Macaca mulatta: one gene and its partner. Each later gene encodes a partner of the first gene's protein in a complex. Links are inferred from orthologs where the notes say so. Each region holds a gene or a part of one and is shown on either strand. Other genes may lie near its edges.

Region 1 (7,764 bases):
CACAGTGAGGGGTGCCAGAAGCCCCCAGAAGCTGGAAGAACCTTTGGCAGGAGCACGGCCTGGCCCACACTGTGGCTGTGGACCGCTGACCCCCAGGACGTTGAGGGAACAGACTTCTGTTGTTTGAAGTCACGTGGTTTGCGGTCACTGCGGTGGTAGCCCCAGGAAATGAATGGAGTTGGCCAGCTGAGTAATGTGCACACACACTGGACCCGCCAGCAGGTGCTGGGAGCTGCAGGCCCCAGTGACCACCCTGGGGGCACACACGGGTCAATGCCTCACTGTCACCAGGATGCAGGAGGTGAGCAGGAAACATCTGTCCCCACAAAAATTGTGACTGGGAGCTGGGGCCAGGTGGCTCCTCTGCTGGGGATTAGGATCAGGATGCAGCCCTGACACGGGAGGTGCAGAGGTCAGCCACGGGGATGCCCTGCGTGGGAGTCGGGGGCCAGGGAGAGGTGGCCTGGCTCCCCTCCTGCCCTGGGATGCACCTGCTGGCTCAGGAGGAGCGGTCTGCTCTTTGGAGAGGGGGCACAGAAGACAGCCTGGTGGGGGAGCAGGGAGGGAGGCAACCCCACCCACCAGGCCTCAAGCAGAGCCTGCCGCCTGCAGAGGGAGGATCTCTGGATGCTGCGCAGCCCGCGCTTGGCTGGTGGGAGCCCCATGCTGCTGCCCTCAGGCGCTCCCTGGTGTGCGTGGCACGGCCTGGGGCCAGGGCCTCACCTGGACCTCCACAGGGTCCTCCGTCTGGGCCTCCTCGGTGTCCAGGAGCTCGATGGTCATGATCACCTGCCCTTTGCGCTGCAGGAACATCACCTGCGGAGCAGGGACGCCGACAACCTCAACTGCTGGGACAGCCCAGCCGGCACAGCGCAGGCTCGCAAGGCCACCCGCCACCCACCTTTGCCACCCTTCCAAAGCCCTGACGCTTCCTGTAGGTCAATGGTACCTCCCGGGCTCTGCAGCAGGGCCGACGTCCCAGCCGCTGAACCAGGGTCCACCCAGGACCGAGTCCAGAGCTGAGTGAGTGGCTGGGCTTCCCGGCTTGTAAGCCCCAAGCCTCCTCTCACCTTGAAGCAGTTCTCGTCGGCCATGCAGCGCTCGGCCTTCCACTGGTAGCTGGTCTCCCTGGCGGCGCGGACGCAGCGGGAGGACAGGTTCCCACCGGCAGCGCCCCGCTTCTTCTCATTCAGGTAGAGCTCTACCACCTTCAGGCAGACGTCGTCGCTCACGAGGTGGTGCAACTGGCAGGAGGAAAGCAGGTGGTGCGGCCACCCTGCCTCCTGCAGGAGCCCCCATCTCACCCACGGAGGAAGTTGGCAAAGGCCAGAAACAAGTCAGGATGGAGACTGCAAGGCACAGGGATGAAGACCAGGATCCTGACAGGCTGTGTGCAGGCCAGGGCAGACCAGATCAAAACCATACCAGACCAGACCAAACCAGACCAAGCCAGACCAGACCAAACCAAAACAGACCAGACCAGATCAAACCAGACCAAATCAGACCAAACCAGATCAGACCAGACCAGACCAGATCAGATTAGACCAGACCAGACCAGATCAGACCAAACCAAAACCAACCAAACCAGACCAGATCAAAACCAGACCAGACCAGACCAAAACCAGACCACACCAAACCAAAACCAAACCAAAGCAGACCAGACCAAATCAGACCAAATCAAAACCAAACCAGACCAGACCAGATCAGACCAGACCAAAACCAGACCAGACCAAAACCAAACCAAACCAGAGCAAAATCAGACCAGACCAAACCAGACCAAATCAAAACCAGGCCAAACCAAACCAGATCAGATCAGACCAGACCAGACCAAAATCAGACCAAATCAAAAGCAAACCAGACCAGACCAGATCAGACCAGAGCAAATCAGACCAAAACCAAACCAAAACAAACCAGACCAACATCAGACCAGACCAAACCAGACCAAACCAAAACCCAACCAAACCAGACCAGACCAGATCAGGCCAGACCATACCAAAACCAGACCAGACCAGGCTAGACCAGGTCAGACCAGGTCAGACCAAAACTAGACCAGACCAGGCCAGACCAGACCAAAACTAGACTAGACCAGACCAGACCTGAACAAAACAGACCAGGCCAGATCAGACCAAGCCAGACCAGCAAACCCTGTGTGCGTGTGAGAAACACATAGAAAAGACACGGAAAAAAATGTTCCAAAGCAAACCCTGGAATGAGCTGAAGGTGGTATGAGTGCAGGCTGTTCCTTTCCCCTAAATGCTTGGATGTAAATACATTGCTATTCCTTTCACCTTTGCACTGAAGAAGGAAGGAATGGAAACAGCAGGGGTTGTGGGGCAGACAAGGCTGGTGTGAAACACCCGCTTGCACAGCCCAGGCCCTGGTCAGGGGACCACACTGCCTGGGGGTTCCGTGTGCAGCTTTGGTGAATGGATACAATACCACCTGGACACGCACAGGTTTCAGACAGCACCTGGCACACAGCAGGTGCCCACTGAATGCCTACTGCTACTGCTGAAAAACAGCAATGCTAATTTTTAAGATAAAGGGAGGCAGAGTCCAGACATGGCCTCGAGGCAGGTTACAAACAGCAGGGAGGGGCCCGCGGTGAGCACCTGGCCCAGTGAGCTACAGGTGGGGTTTGGTGAGGCCACAGCCAGGACAGCAGGGCAGCACGAGGCTCTGACTACGGCTCCAGCCAGACAGCCCATTTTCATTGCTTTGTTTTTAACAGGTTCTAGAGGAGATGTTTATGGAAGCGGGAGATTCTTTTAAAGCACTAATCAATGCTTTCCATAAACCATTTGGTCCAATCTCCTGGTGCCACAAGCAAGGCTGCTGTCCCCAAAGCCATGGCCCATGAGGGGTGCCCGGCCTGGGAGGGCAGACTGCCAGGCCCCGGCATCCCCCTCATCGCTGCCCCAACACCGTGCGCTGGGCCCTGGGCGTTCTCTCTCCAGGCTGCCCCATGCGTGTCTCCCTCACTGGGGGAGCAGCCACTGCTGTGGATGGTGATGGGCAGGGACCTGTTTCGGGCACACAGAGGGAAAGTGGAGGAGGCTTAAGTGACGGTGTCGGAACGCAGCTGTGGGTTTCACGAAGTCCTTGTGGCCAGACATAGAAATCCTCCCAGTCACCAACAAGGCAGACTCGACGGAAACAGGCACAAACACCGTGGACAGCTTTCCAAGAGAAAAGATGTCCCAACGGCCATGAAAGGACAAGGCCCCAACCACACACATGAGCCATCAGGGAAATTTAATGTGAGCCCACCGAGATTCGAACAGCTCCCAGCTGATGGAGAGACGCCCCAGGGAGGACACGGAGTGCGGCCTGGCACAGCAATGGTGGGAGTGATCCAGGAAACTGAAAGTTTCCATCAGTGAGACACACCTCTCTCTGCCTCACCCCAAGGGCAGCAGCAGAAATGTACATGGACGGCCACGAGACGCACCCACGGGGCACCACCCATGCCTGTCCTCAGGAGACAGGTGGACGGAGTGGGGGTCGTTCCTGGGAATCCTTGGCTGGTTGATCTCAACACAGGAATCTCACAGAATGACACTCCCAGGATGCAGCCGGGCACTGTGTGCTTCTGTTAACACACGGCTCAAGACCAGGATCTACCTCTGTGTAGAAATCAGGGTTGTGATGCCGGGTGCCGTGGCTCACGCCTGCAATCCCAGCACTTTGGGAGGCAGAGGCAGGCGGATCACCTGAGGTCAGGAGTTCAAGACCAGCCTGGCCAACATGGTTAAACCCCTCCTCTACTAAAAATACAAAAATTAGCCGGGTGTGGTGGCATGCACCTGTAATCCCAGCTACTTAAGAGGCTGAGGCAGGAGCACTGCTTGAACCCAGGAGGCAGAGGTTGCTGTGAGCCGAGATCGCGCCATTGCACTCCAGCCTGGGTGACAAGAGCAAAACTCTGTCTTAAAAAAAAAAAAAGAAGAAGAAGAAATCAGGGTTGTGAGTGTCCATGGGTGGCAGGTGGCTGGGTGGGGACACAGGGGCAGGGGTTCTTTTGATGAAAGCCCATCCATCTGCCCCCTTCAAATTTGGGAACTTTTCTGCGTGTGTATTTTACTTGCATTAAGCAATCTTTAAAACCTGGAAGGAAACATCCTGTCTGAAATGCTTCTTGTAACTGTGTCTGGGTGGGAGAGTAATGGCATTATTTTTTTCCAGCTTTTTTCCCCGCTTTATGACGAACAGCCTTACTGGGTGACCAGGAAACAGAGGTCACCATGAACAATGACTCTGGCAAAAACCAAGCAGGACCCACGTCCTGGAACCACACCCAGCTCGTCTGGGATGTCTGCTGTTTATGTTTACGTGACCGGTTTCCTTGCGTTGACATTCAGCGGGGGCCGGGTTTTTGCTACTACTAAAACCAACGCGGATGAACACCGCTACTCCCACCCTCCCCCAGGATAAGTGGGTTAAGGTTTTTTCCATGTTGTCAATTTATCCTCAAGAACGGTTTGTCAACAGGAACTCAGAACAAACACCTGTACACAAATATTCAGAGCAGCAGTGCTCACAATCTCTGTAAGGCAGCCACAGCCGAGACGGAGAAACGAAACGTAGCTACCCATGCAACTGACTACTACAGAGCCATAAATAGGAATGAAGCACGAGGGAAATCCAGAGGCAGAAAGCAGATGACTGGATGTCAGGGGCTTGGGGCAGGGGAATGGGGAGTGGCTGCTGATGGGGATGGGGTCTCCTTTTGGAAAGATGAAATGTTCTGGAACTAGACAGAGGTGGTGGTTGCACAATATTGTGAATGTACTAAATGTTACCAAACTGAACATCCAAATGGGTAATTTCACATTATGTAAATTTTGTCTCGATTAAGAAAAAACAGGATAGGTTTGCTGTGCCGACCACGGGCCCCCTTCCCAGGTGGGAGTGAAGTGACGGCAGGGCCATTTCCAGCGTCCTCAGGGGCGGCCCCGCCCCGGCCCGGCTCACCTGCCGCGCGATGTTCTGCACCAGCTTGTCCATGGTGAAGCCCACGTAGGCGTGGATGGTGAACATCTCGCGCAGGGTGTCCTCGTACTGCGTGGGGTCAATGCTGCCCTCCAGCAGGCTCCGCACCATGTCCAGGAAGGCTGGGTAGTACTCCTCCAGCTCCACTTCACCTGTGGAGACACACCGCTTCATCCACATGCCTCCTGGAGTGCATAAAGCCACGCAGGCCAAGCTCTGGCACCACAGAGCCCCAACAAATGCCCCCGTGGGGCCCAGCAGCCCTCACCCGCCACCCCTGGGGCAAATCTGGGAATCACCAGGAAACCCAAGTAGCTGGCGTTCACTGCCACCCTCCCTGAGGCTGCCTAATCTGGCCGGCAACCCAGGGATGGCACAGAGAGTGTTGTGGAGCCAGGCATGGTGGCCCGTGCCTGTAATCCCAGCGCTTTGGGAGGCTGAGGCAGCCGGATCACCTGAGTTCAGGAGTTTGAGACCAGGTTGGCTAAAATGGTGAAAACCTGTCTCTATTAAAAATACAAAAAATTGGGCCGGGCACAGTGCCTCATGCCTGTAATCCCATCACTTTGGGAGCCTGAGGCAGGTGGATCACAAGGTCAGGAGTTTAAGACCAGCCTGGCCAAGATGGTGAAACCCCGTCTCCACTAAAAATACAAAAAAAATTAGCCGGACATGGTGGCAGGTGCCTGTAATCCCAGCTACTCAGAGGCTGAGACAGAGAATTGCTTGAACCTGGGAGGCAGAGGCTGCAGTGAGATCACACCACTGCACTCCAGCCTGGGCGACAGAGCAAGACTCCATTTCAAAAAAGAAATACAAAAAATCAGCTGGGCATGGTGGCAACCGCCTGTAATCCCAGCTACTTGGAAGGCTAAGGCAGGAGAACCACTTGAACCCAGGATAGTGGAGGTTGCAGTGAGCCGAGATCCCGCCACTATACTCCAGCCTGCGCAACAGCGCAAGACTCCATCTCAAAAAAAAAAAAAAAAAAAAAAAAAAAAGAAAGTAAAAGGGCACTGTGGAGCTGGGCCGTGACGGCTCCACGAGAAGGCCCATGAAAAACAAAGGTTCCCCGGTCAGGAGAGGGTGCTACACCCAGGACAGGTGCCAGTGCCGGCGGAGCCTGGGCGAGGGGTACCTGAGACCTCTGTCTTATGCTGGCAACTTCCTGTTTGCAATTTCCCATCTGAAATCACAGAATTCTCTTAAAACGAAAAACCAGGAAGAAAAGTAACAGGACATGTCAGATCATGAGCTGCGACCCCAAACCCCAGGCACCCCCCAGGGCCTCCGGCAGGCTTCGGAGCCTTACTGGGCTGCTTCAGCCGCAGCTCCATGGCGGGGTCGCTGCCCTTCTCCCTGCGGCCCTCACACAGCAGCTTCTCCCGTTCCTTCTCGGTCCGATACTCCAGGAGCTGCTTCTGCGCCTGGCGGTAGATCTTCAGCAGCCTGGAGCACAGGGTCTGGTGCAGGCGCAGGAAGAAGTACCAGTTGTTGTTGGCAAAGAAGAGGCTGTAGACGTCGTCCAGAGGCTTGTGTGGCGGTGGGGGTGGCGGGGGTGGCTGCTCAGTGGTCGGGGCATCCCCAAAGGCCCCCTTCTCCTCTGGGGGGCTACTGTGGGGTCCTGGCGCCGGCTTCTTCCGTTCGCTGGGGTCTGTGCTCTGCCCCTGGGGGCTGTCCCGGTCCTCGTCGGCTGACTCCTCAGAGGCGCCCAGGTCCAGCTGCTGAGAGAAGAAGAGGCTGGGCACGAACTGGTGCAGCAGCTGGTGGATGGTGCCCTGGTCCTCCTTCTGGATGGCCGGCTGCCGCTTCACGTAGTAGCTGATGAGCGCTGCTGCGTCCTCCAGGATCTGTCGGTCCTCGTACACGAAGATGAGGTGTGGCTCGCTAGAGGGGGCGCTGCGGCCCTCCGAGTGCTGCTCCTGGTGCTGTGGGGGAAAGGGCGGCCATGAGACGGAAAGCCACCCAGCACCCAGAGGACCCCCCGTGCCCGTTCACAAGTCGCTGTTAACTGGGCCACCAAGGTGGACGAGTGCTGCCCGGAGCAGGATGGGTGGCCAACGTTGGGGAGAGGCAAGGCCTGGGGGGCGGGTCGCTTGCCTCAACCTCCTGTGCAGCCCCACGTGCCCCTGGTTCCCTCTCCGGAAGCAAGGCAGACCCAAGTCATCCTGGGACCCAGTCGGAGGAGCCGAGAGGATTCTGAGATATGGGGCAGGGTTCACAGGGGGTCTGACAGCGTCAAGCCTGGGTCTGTCGCTCAGCCCAGCTCTAGGGCAGAATGGGGGCCCTGTGGCTCAGCATGGGGAAACCTCTGAGGCTGACCTCCTCCTACTGACAGCAACGGTGGCGCCTGATTCCAGCTTGACCGGGGCTGCCCATACCACGCTATCGATGAGGTCAAGGAGGCACAGGGTGAGCCGTGACCTCTCTGCTGCTGCCCTCCATCTACTACCCAGGAGGCCTGCAACTGCTCACATCTGAAGCCCTGCACGCCCATCGTCCCCAAGTCCCCACCTCCGCTGCTGTCACCCGCCAGCCCCTGCACGTGCTTGCTACCACCGTCATGTCACCAGCCCTCCCACCAGCTCTCACCAGCCTGTTCCAACCATTCTCCTCACTGGGTCCAGGGCGACTTGGCCCACAGGAGCATGGTCACCTCAACTAACACTCCTGAGGCACTGCCCCTCAGAAGATGCCAGCCCTTGGGGTGCCCCTCCATAGCCCCTCCAGCCTCACGGCCCCCAGGCTCCTTCCTGCGATGCTTCAGGGCGC
Region 2 (7,764 bases), on another chromosome or scaffold:
CTCCAGTGCAGCATATTGAAACATTTATCTGCTAAGCAGATGCCTTCGCATTGGGACTCTGAACAGACAGAGAAGGCTGATATTAAGCCTGTTATTGTGACTGACGGCTCAATCACCACCTCCTTGCAAACAGCTGACAAGACACCTACACCTTCCCACTACCCCTTGTCCTGCCCCTCAGGGATTAGCACCCAGAATTCCTTGAGCTGCTCTCCACCCCACCAGCCCCCAGCCCTAGAGGACATCGGCTGCAGTTCTTGTGCAGAAAAATCCAAGAAAACCCCTTGTGGGACTGCCAATGGGCCAGTGAACACAGAGGTGAAAGCTAATGGCCCACACCTCTACAGCAGCCCTACTGATTCCGCGGACCCCCGGCGACTTCCAGGCGCTAACACCCCCCTACCAGGCCTCTCACACCGGCAAGGCTGGCCCCGGCCCCTCACGCCACCAGCGGCTGGGGGCCTTCAGAACCACACCGTCGGCATCATTGTGAAGACAGAGAATGCCACTGACCCCAGCTCTTGCCCCCAGAGGAGTTTGGTTCCTGTCCCAAGCCTGCCCCCTTCCATTCCCAGCTCTTGTGCCAGCATCGAGAACACCAGCACTTTGCAAAGAAAGACTGTCCAATCACAGATAGGACCTCCGTTGACAGATTCAAGGCCACTGGGCTCACCCCCAAATGCCACCCGGGTGCTCACTCCCCCCCAAGCAGCAGGAGATGGTATCTTGGCCACAGGAGCCAACCAACGATTCAGCTCACCAGCGCCATCATCAGGTGAGTGCTGCTCAGCCTTGGGGTGATTTGGAATAATTTTATGCTCTTTCTGGCAAATAAGACAAGATTCCAAAAGCACTTATATCCCTGTGAATACTTCAGAGGACTTTGGCCTCTGTATTGTTTGTCTTACTCCCATTTCCGTAATAGAAGAGGAAGCACATGTTAACTTGTCCCGTTTATAGATGGGACTGCTTAGACTCTGAAAGCTTCAGTGATTTCCTTAAATTGACCTACGGAGTCAGTGGCAGGATTGGAACCACAGCCCAGGTCTCCTGATTCCATCCCACACCTTCCAGGCCTAGGCTTCTGCCTGTTTTGTTCTGTCACCTTAAAAGAAGGCAGGGTGCTCTCTGGAATTACTGTGATCAGCCTGAGGTTCTGCGTGATGGCCTCAGTATTGTTAGATCCGCACAAAAGAATGGATTCATGCTTGATGCATATTCTCAGAGTTCATCTGATGGACTTCCGTGTCAGGAAGCAGGGATAGACAGCAGCACTGTCTTTCAGAGGAGCTGTAGAGTGGGATGCCCACAGGGGTTGGTCTAGCCCAGAAGCTTGCCCTCGGGCCACATGCCAAAGGGCGGTCCTTTAGGTCTGTACTTGGCCTACTGTGGACCTGCTCTCTCAGCTGTCCCCAGACAGCACTCAGTACCTTGAGGTTGCTGACCCCGGCATCTGAACCAGGTTTCAGATGCTGCCGGAACCCCCTGTGGTCTCTCCCGTCTGAACTGAAGCTGGCCTCCTAGTCAGCTGGGAGTCTCGGTAACCAGGTGACTGTGATTTCTCTGCATGGGGGCCCCTGGTCCCAGGATGGCCCCACTCCCAGGCTGTTTTCCTGTCTCTGTTTATCGCTTAATACCAGTGTGGGTAGATTTTCCATGCTGTGAGTCATATTTCAGTAGGCAGGAATTATAAGGGCAGGCACCACTTATTTAAAAGTAGAGGCAGCAGGGAGGTGGTCATGGCCCAAAGAATGAAGCTGCCCCACCACTTTCCCCAGAGCAGTGGATTTCAATGATTCCCAGTGCTCTGGAGACTCCTGCGTGCCCGGGTGCTTTGTCATTCCATCTGCCCTTCCTCACCACACGTTTTTAGCTCTAGGAGTTCCAGAGCCTATGGGTTGAGAATCAAGAAGGGAACATCACCTTGGGTCCGAAATCCAGACCTGTCTCAGCAGTGGGGGATTGGACCGGTGGGTTTCCCTCAGGCGACGTAAGTAACAGTCTTCCTGCTCCGTCCCCAGATGGCAAGGTCAGCCCCGGCACGTTATCCATAGGAAGCGCTTTAACCGTACCCTCTTTCCCAGCCAACTCTACTGCCATGGTGGACCTCACCAACTCACTTCGAGCATTTATGGATGTCAATGGAGGTGAGTGAATGAGCTGCTGCTGTTCCATTGGTTGCTATGTTGAAGGTGCTATTCCTATACAGCATTCAGCTCATTTCAGAAAGGGAGGGAAGGAGCACCTGATCCCAGAGGCCTAGGGGGAGATGGGAATGAGGAGTATCCTTTTGGATAGGGGGGTAGGGTGAAAAAGAAAGCTCCTTCTTTAGCTCTGCCTTCTACCTGTGCATATACACATAATCAAAGATGGAGGGAGGACAGAGCCAAGCTGAACCAGTGAGACAAAAACAAAATCACTTTAGGCAGATCACCTGGATTTGCAGAATAAAACTAGGATCCTCACTCCCAAAGGAGGGACCTCATCTGTGGGAAACCCCTAAAGTCCAGGAGAACAGGGACAGATCTTGATCTCTGTGAACACAAGGTGGGTAGAAAATTCAAGTCTCAATATCAGACATCCAGGCCCTCCCCCACAGACAGGCAAGTGGTTTATTCCACTCTGCCGTTCTAGGAGCACTATTAAAATCAATTCACCCAACTACAGGAGGCAGCTGCACAGGCTGCATTGGGACCCATCTCACTGCAAATAGCAAGTGAAATGCCCAGCTGCAGATCCTTGTATGCTCTGTACTCAATGCTGTTTAAGTAAAAGTTACTTGACTGGATTTTAGAAATGCCGAACTATTTGCTCTGTGACCCTGATTTGCTTCCACATTCCACTTCCATCTCAGCAGCTTTTTAATCTTTCTCTTTGGCTAATAGAAATCGAGATAAATATGCTGGACGAGAAGCTGATCAAGTTTCTGGCCTTGCAGAGAATACATCAGCTTTTCCCCTCCCGGGTCCAACCTTCACCGGGCAGTGTCGGGACACATCAGCTGGCTTCTGGAGGGCACCACACAGAAGGTGCGCATGTACACACCTGTCACCACATCATCAGATCTCCCCTCTACGTGTGCGAATGGTCACCTTGCCTCCATGGAGAATCTGAGCTTCCAGTATTCAAATCTTCTTGTGTGCTTTTCATGGGCTTAATAAAGCACCATGGTTTTTTTCTGAAGAGAGCAGGAACAAGATGGCAACCACAGCTTTCTTATCAGACTTGGGGAAGTCTGCTGTAACTTTCTTTCATATATAAGTCCACTTTGAGACACAGCAAAGCAGCTACCAGTACCTTTGGGTATATGTAGTGTACTTTCTGCTTACTTGCTTTCAAATATTTGAATTAGAAGGGCTTTCCGACTGAGTGCAGTGGCTCACACCTGTAATCCCAGCACTTTGGGAGGCTGAGGCGGGAGGATCACTTGAGCCCAGGAGTTGGAGACCAGCCTGGGCAACACAGTGAGACCCTATCTCTACAAATAATTTTAAACTTAGCCAGGCATGGTGGCATACACCTGTAGTCCCAGCTGCTTGGAAGGCTAAGGTGGGAGAATCGCTTGAGCCTGGGAGGTCAAGGCTGCAGTGAGCTATGATTGCACCACTGCACTCCAGCCTGGGTGACAGGGTGAGACCCTGTCTCTAAATAAATAATAAATAAATAAAATTTTTAAAAGAATGGCTTCCCAAGAAGGAACTTTTCAAGTTCAAGGTGAGAAATAGAATAACCGTAGGCCAGCCTTCTGGAAATTTTCCCCAAGTGGTTAACTCTGTTTCAGGTATGTCTGAGCACTGGCCATTAAAAGCCTTGCTGCTTCAAAGTGTGGTTCCCAGACCAGCAGCATCAGCAGCCCCTGAGAGCTTGTTAGAAATGCAGAGCTCAGTGCATTGGTTTTTTGCCTATTTTTAAAGAAAACAGCAAAAGAAATGCAGAGCTAAGGCCCCTCCTCAGACCTATTGAATCAGAATCTGCATTTCAACAAGATATGTAGGCGATTCATATGCACATTAAAGTTTGAGAAACACTGGTCCATGCGGTCTGTTTTTCCATGTTCTCCCTATAGTACCAGCTGGAATATCCCAGATTAGCCAACCAGGAGCCCAGGAACTTACAGGGTACTGTCATCTCTGACTTCTCTGACTATCTTCAAAGATGGTCCTCTGCACCCTGTGTTGGAAATGCTGTGGGTGGGGAGAGAAAGTCTACCCTGCAGCAGCTCAGTGCTGGATGTGAGTCTGGAAAGATGAGTCATCCAGCGGGATTTTCTCCAGGCCATGAGCCAAAAGTCCAGATTTTGTTGGTTTATGTTTGGATCACAGGATCTGAGTTTCTGAATGATCCTATTCCTATGTTTGTCTTGTAGTGCAAAGAAAGGAGGTACAGGCCCGAGCTGTGTTCTACCCCCTCTTAGGGTTGGGAGGAGCTGTGAACATGTGCTATCGAACCCTCTACATCGGGACAGGTGAGCCAGCCAGGAAGCTGGGAGAGACACTGAATCTGTTCAGCCCTAAAGACTGATACCCTTACCCACAGAAGTTAGAAAGGGGTGAGGGAAGCCCTTTCCAGAGTTGACTGCTTTAAACCAGTGGATAGCTAGACAAGAGAAATTAAGAATAGAGACAATCAGCCGGTCACAGTGGCTCACGCCTATAATCCCAGCATTTTGGGAGGACGAGGCAGGAGGAACACTTGAGCCCAGGACTTCGAGACCAGCCTGGGCAATATGGTGAAACCCCATCTCTACCAAAAACAAATACAAAAAAATTAGCTGGGCACATGCCTATAGTCCCAGCTACTTGGGAGGCTGAGGTGGGAAGATCACCTGAGCCTGGGAGGTCAAGGCAGTGATCCTATTCATGCCACTGCACTCCAGCCCGGGCAACAGAGTGAGACCCTGTCTCAAAAATAAAAGAGACGATCAGTTCCTTGTCTTCCCTTGTTCAGGCCCTTTTGCTTTGTCTTTGCCCAGTGTTGCATCAGCAGAGATGAAAGTCAGCTCTGACTACTGCCCAGGGAGGCACTTTAAACACTGCGGGGAAGAACCCAAGGAGAAGGCAGATGCTTTGTCCCTGGTGGTCTTTGAAAGAGTGATAGGCTCACACATACCCAATCTTCAGTTAGCCCTGTATCTGTTTTTTGTTTTGTTTTGTTTTCCCTAGAAGTCCTAGAGACAGATAGTTCTATATCTGGTACAGAAGGACAGACAGATTAGTCCTTACCCTAGAAACTTCCCTTTCTTTAAGGTGATATGATTTTCTAGGCTCTGCACCCTCTTGTTGTATTTTCATAGAAATATCCCATCCTCTTCAGTAGCTCACTGTTCCCTTCTGGGTAGCAGCCACATGTTCTAAAGCAGATCAGCTGGCAGGGACAGTTGTTCTTTATCAGGAGCTTGGAAAAGACATCAGTTTTTGTTCAAAAATAAAAGGGGAGGGCCCTGAGCTACTCACCCTTGAAGTCTCTGCTAGTGCCAACCCAGAAGCTAACTCCCTCCCTGTCTCACCTCCCCGACACATGCACCTTACAATCTGTTCTCTGCCTTCCTTTTCCTCTACTCCTGCCATCTTGCAGGAGCTGACATGGATGTGTGCCTTACAAACTATGGTCACTGTAACTACGTGTCCGGGAAACATGCCTGCATATTCTACGATGAGGTGAGGGCTGGAGATGCGGTGGGAGGGAGCTTTCCCAACCTAAGGCCTCTCCCAAGCAGTAGGTTTTTGTTCAGTGCCCTGAGGGGAGGGAAGAGGGATTGGGAGTCCTCTCCTTTTCTTCCCTCCCTGTCATTCCTGGAGGAGGACAGTCTTGATGTAAAACAGCATCCTACCAGGGGTACCTGCTTCACAGGAGCAGGGCTACCATTTTTCCTGAGGTTAGTCACAGGCACAGCAGAGGGAGCCTACCCTAAAGCAGGGGAGGGGACCAGCATAGAAGGAAGCCAAGCCCTGTGGATGTGTCCCTGTGAATTTCATTATCATCATGGGCCAGTGAGTATCACACCAAGAGGAGCGGTGCTGAGAAGGCAGAGTGAAGGAGGATTGGGAGAGTAGGGGGTGTGGGACACCGGAAGGAAGGCTTCCCTGAGGAGGTATCTGCAGCCCCCTTCTGAAAGGACAGGGGCCATGACTGGGGAGGCAAGTAAGGGTTCCCTAGGTAGAGCAGCACGGCCTTCTCCATATGTCCTCTCCCCCTAGCCCCATGCCCCACACAGCCAACCACACATCTTATCTCCCCTCCTCCTCCTCAGAATACCAAACATTATGAGCTGTTAAACTACAGTGAGCATGGGACAACGGTGGACAATGTGCTGTATTCATGTGACTTCTCGGAGAAGACCCCGCCAACACCCCCAAGCAGTATTGTTGCCAAAGTGCAGAGTGTCATCAGTAAGTTGGAGCAGAGGTCTGTGGCCACAAAGCTGAGGCCGCAGTCAGGGTGGTTCTGACTTGCTGCCCATGGTCTGTCTCTTGCCTTCTTAGTCCTATTGGCCAAGCTCTACTTCCTCATGGGCCCAGGGCAGGCCACAGAGAAGCAAGTGCTGAGTACCCCCATGTGTGTACACACCTGTGGGGATTTCAGACTCCACCAACCCTTTCTGAGCATCCTTCATCCGTAGTCATGCAGCAGTTGGAATGGGGAGATGCAGGAGCCCAACCTTGGCAAACAGCCCACATGGGTTGGCTGCTCACTGTTCCTCTTCTGTGACCATCCCCCTTTTTCCCAGGGCGCCGCCGGCACCAGAAACAGGATGAAGAGCCAAGTGAGGAGGCAGCCATGATGAGTTCCCAGGCCCAAGGGCCGCAGCGGAGACCCTGCAATTGCAAAGCCAGCAGCTCAAGCTTGATTGGGGGCAGTGGGGCCGGCTGGGAGGGCACGGCCTTACTGCACCATGGCAGCTACATCAAGCTGGGCTGCCTGCAGTTTGTCTTCAGCATCACTGAGTTTGCGACCAAACAGCCCAAAGGCGATGCCAGCCTGCTGCAGGATGGGGTCTTGGCCGAGAAGCTCTCTCTCAAGCCCCACCAGGGCCCTGTGCTGCGCTCCAACTCCGTTCCCTAGGACTGGCAGCTACCCCGCTACTGGCCTGTACACCCACCCAAGACTCCTGCAATGCAAAAATGTACACAAACCAAGCCCGGGTGTTTTCTATACTCTACCAGAAACGCTTCAACTACAATCTTTGCATGAAATGAAGAAAACCTTTTGACTGTTTTTTAAAAATCCTTTTTCTTTCCTCAAGTTCTAGGGGGCATTTGCACATATATTTGTACTCAACATTTCATGGGAAAGGGGCAAACCCGAGCTGAGGAACAGCGTGGGCAGGGAGGGAAAGACCCATGGTCTGGACACTTCCTCCAACACAAAACCCTTCCCCACCCATCTACTACTCCCTCCCCCTCGCCCGCCGTTGTAAAATAATCAGAAACTTGTTCTATTTTGTGGCAGTGACAATAGTTTTATATTAAAAGAAAAAATACAGTTTTCATACAGCAAAATCTATACAATATCATTGTTTTATTTAATATAAAGATCGCTACCCACCTTCCTTCCATGGTTCCCACCCTCCACGTTATTTTCCCTTTCTGCAGCAGTTGCACTACAGGTAGCTACTGTGTATTATGGACAAATGAGAAATGAATTCTTTTTCTGGCTGTCCATCTGTTTTATTTCAAATAAGGAAAAGTGTATTTGGATTTTGTGTAAATACATCTAGTGATGACATTTTTTCAATGTTTTTAAAAACCGTGTACAGTACTACAT

Evidence for each region. Proteins that work in one complex are often made in the same cells at the same time.
Region 2: the proteins of SIN3B (region 1) and PHF12 are in contact, whole or in part, in a cryo-EM structure (PDB 8BPA), measured with the Homo sapiens proteins. The link is inferred for Macaca mulatta from reciprocal best matches to the Homo sapiens genes SIN3B and PHF12. Residues at the interface, in NP_056075.1 of Homo sapiens: Glu307, Phe311, Leu318, Glu322, Val323, Tyr324, Glu325, Asn326, Leu328, Arg329, Cys330, Ile331, Leu333, Phe334, Asn335, Glu343, Leu347, Pro350, Phe351, Lys354, Phe365, Lys395, Arg396, Glu490, Glu493, Leu494, Val497, Tyr545, Arg546, Ile547; in NP_001028733.1 of Homo sapiens: Leu20, Met21, Gln23, Ile24, Gln25, Leu27, Leu28, Pro30, Pro31, Lys32, Thr33, Asn264, Leu266, Val267, Leu269, Val271, Val273, Phe275, Thr276, Asn278, Arg279, Ser280, Arg282, Cys292, Pro293, Leu294, Pro316, Asn317, His318, Ile319.

What each region holds. Positions count from the first base shown.
Region 1 is NC_133424.1:17,360,449-17,368,212, reverse strand, and holds part of SIN3B (paired amphipathic helix protein Sin3b), read right to left. Parts: intron 6,921-7,764; coding exon 6,305-6,920; intron 5,145-6,304; coding exon 4,975-5,144; intron 1,245-4,974; coding exon 1,071-1,244; intron 817-1,070; coding exon 724-816; intron 1-723.
Region 2 is NC_133421.1:37,628,141-37,635,904, reverse strand, and holds part of PHF12 (PHD finger protein 12), read left to right. Parts: coding exon 1-775; intron 776-2,021; coding exon 2,022-2,147; intron 2,148-2,885; coding exon 2,886-3,029; intron 3,030-4,366; coding exon 4,367-4,465; intron 4,466-5,574; coding exon 5,575-5,657; intron 5,658-6,250; coding exon 6,251-6,389; intron 6,390-6,727; coding exon 6,728-7,062; 3' UTR 7,063-7,764.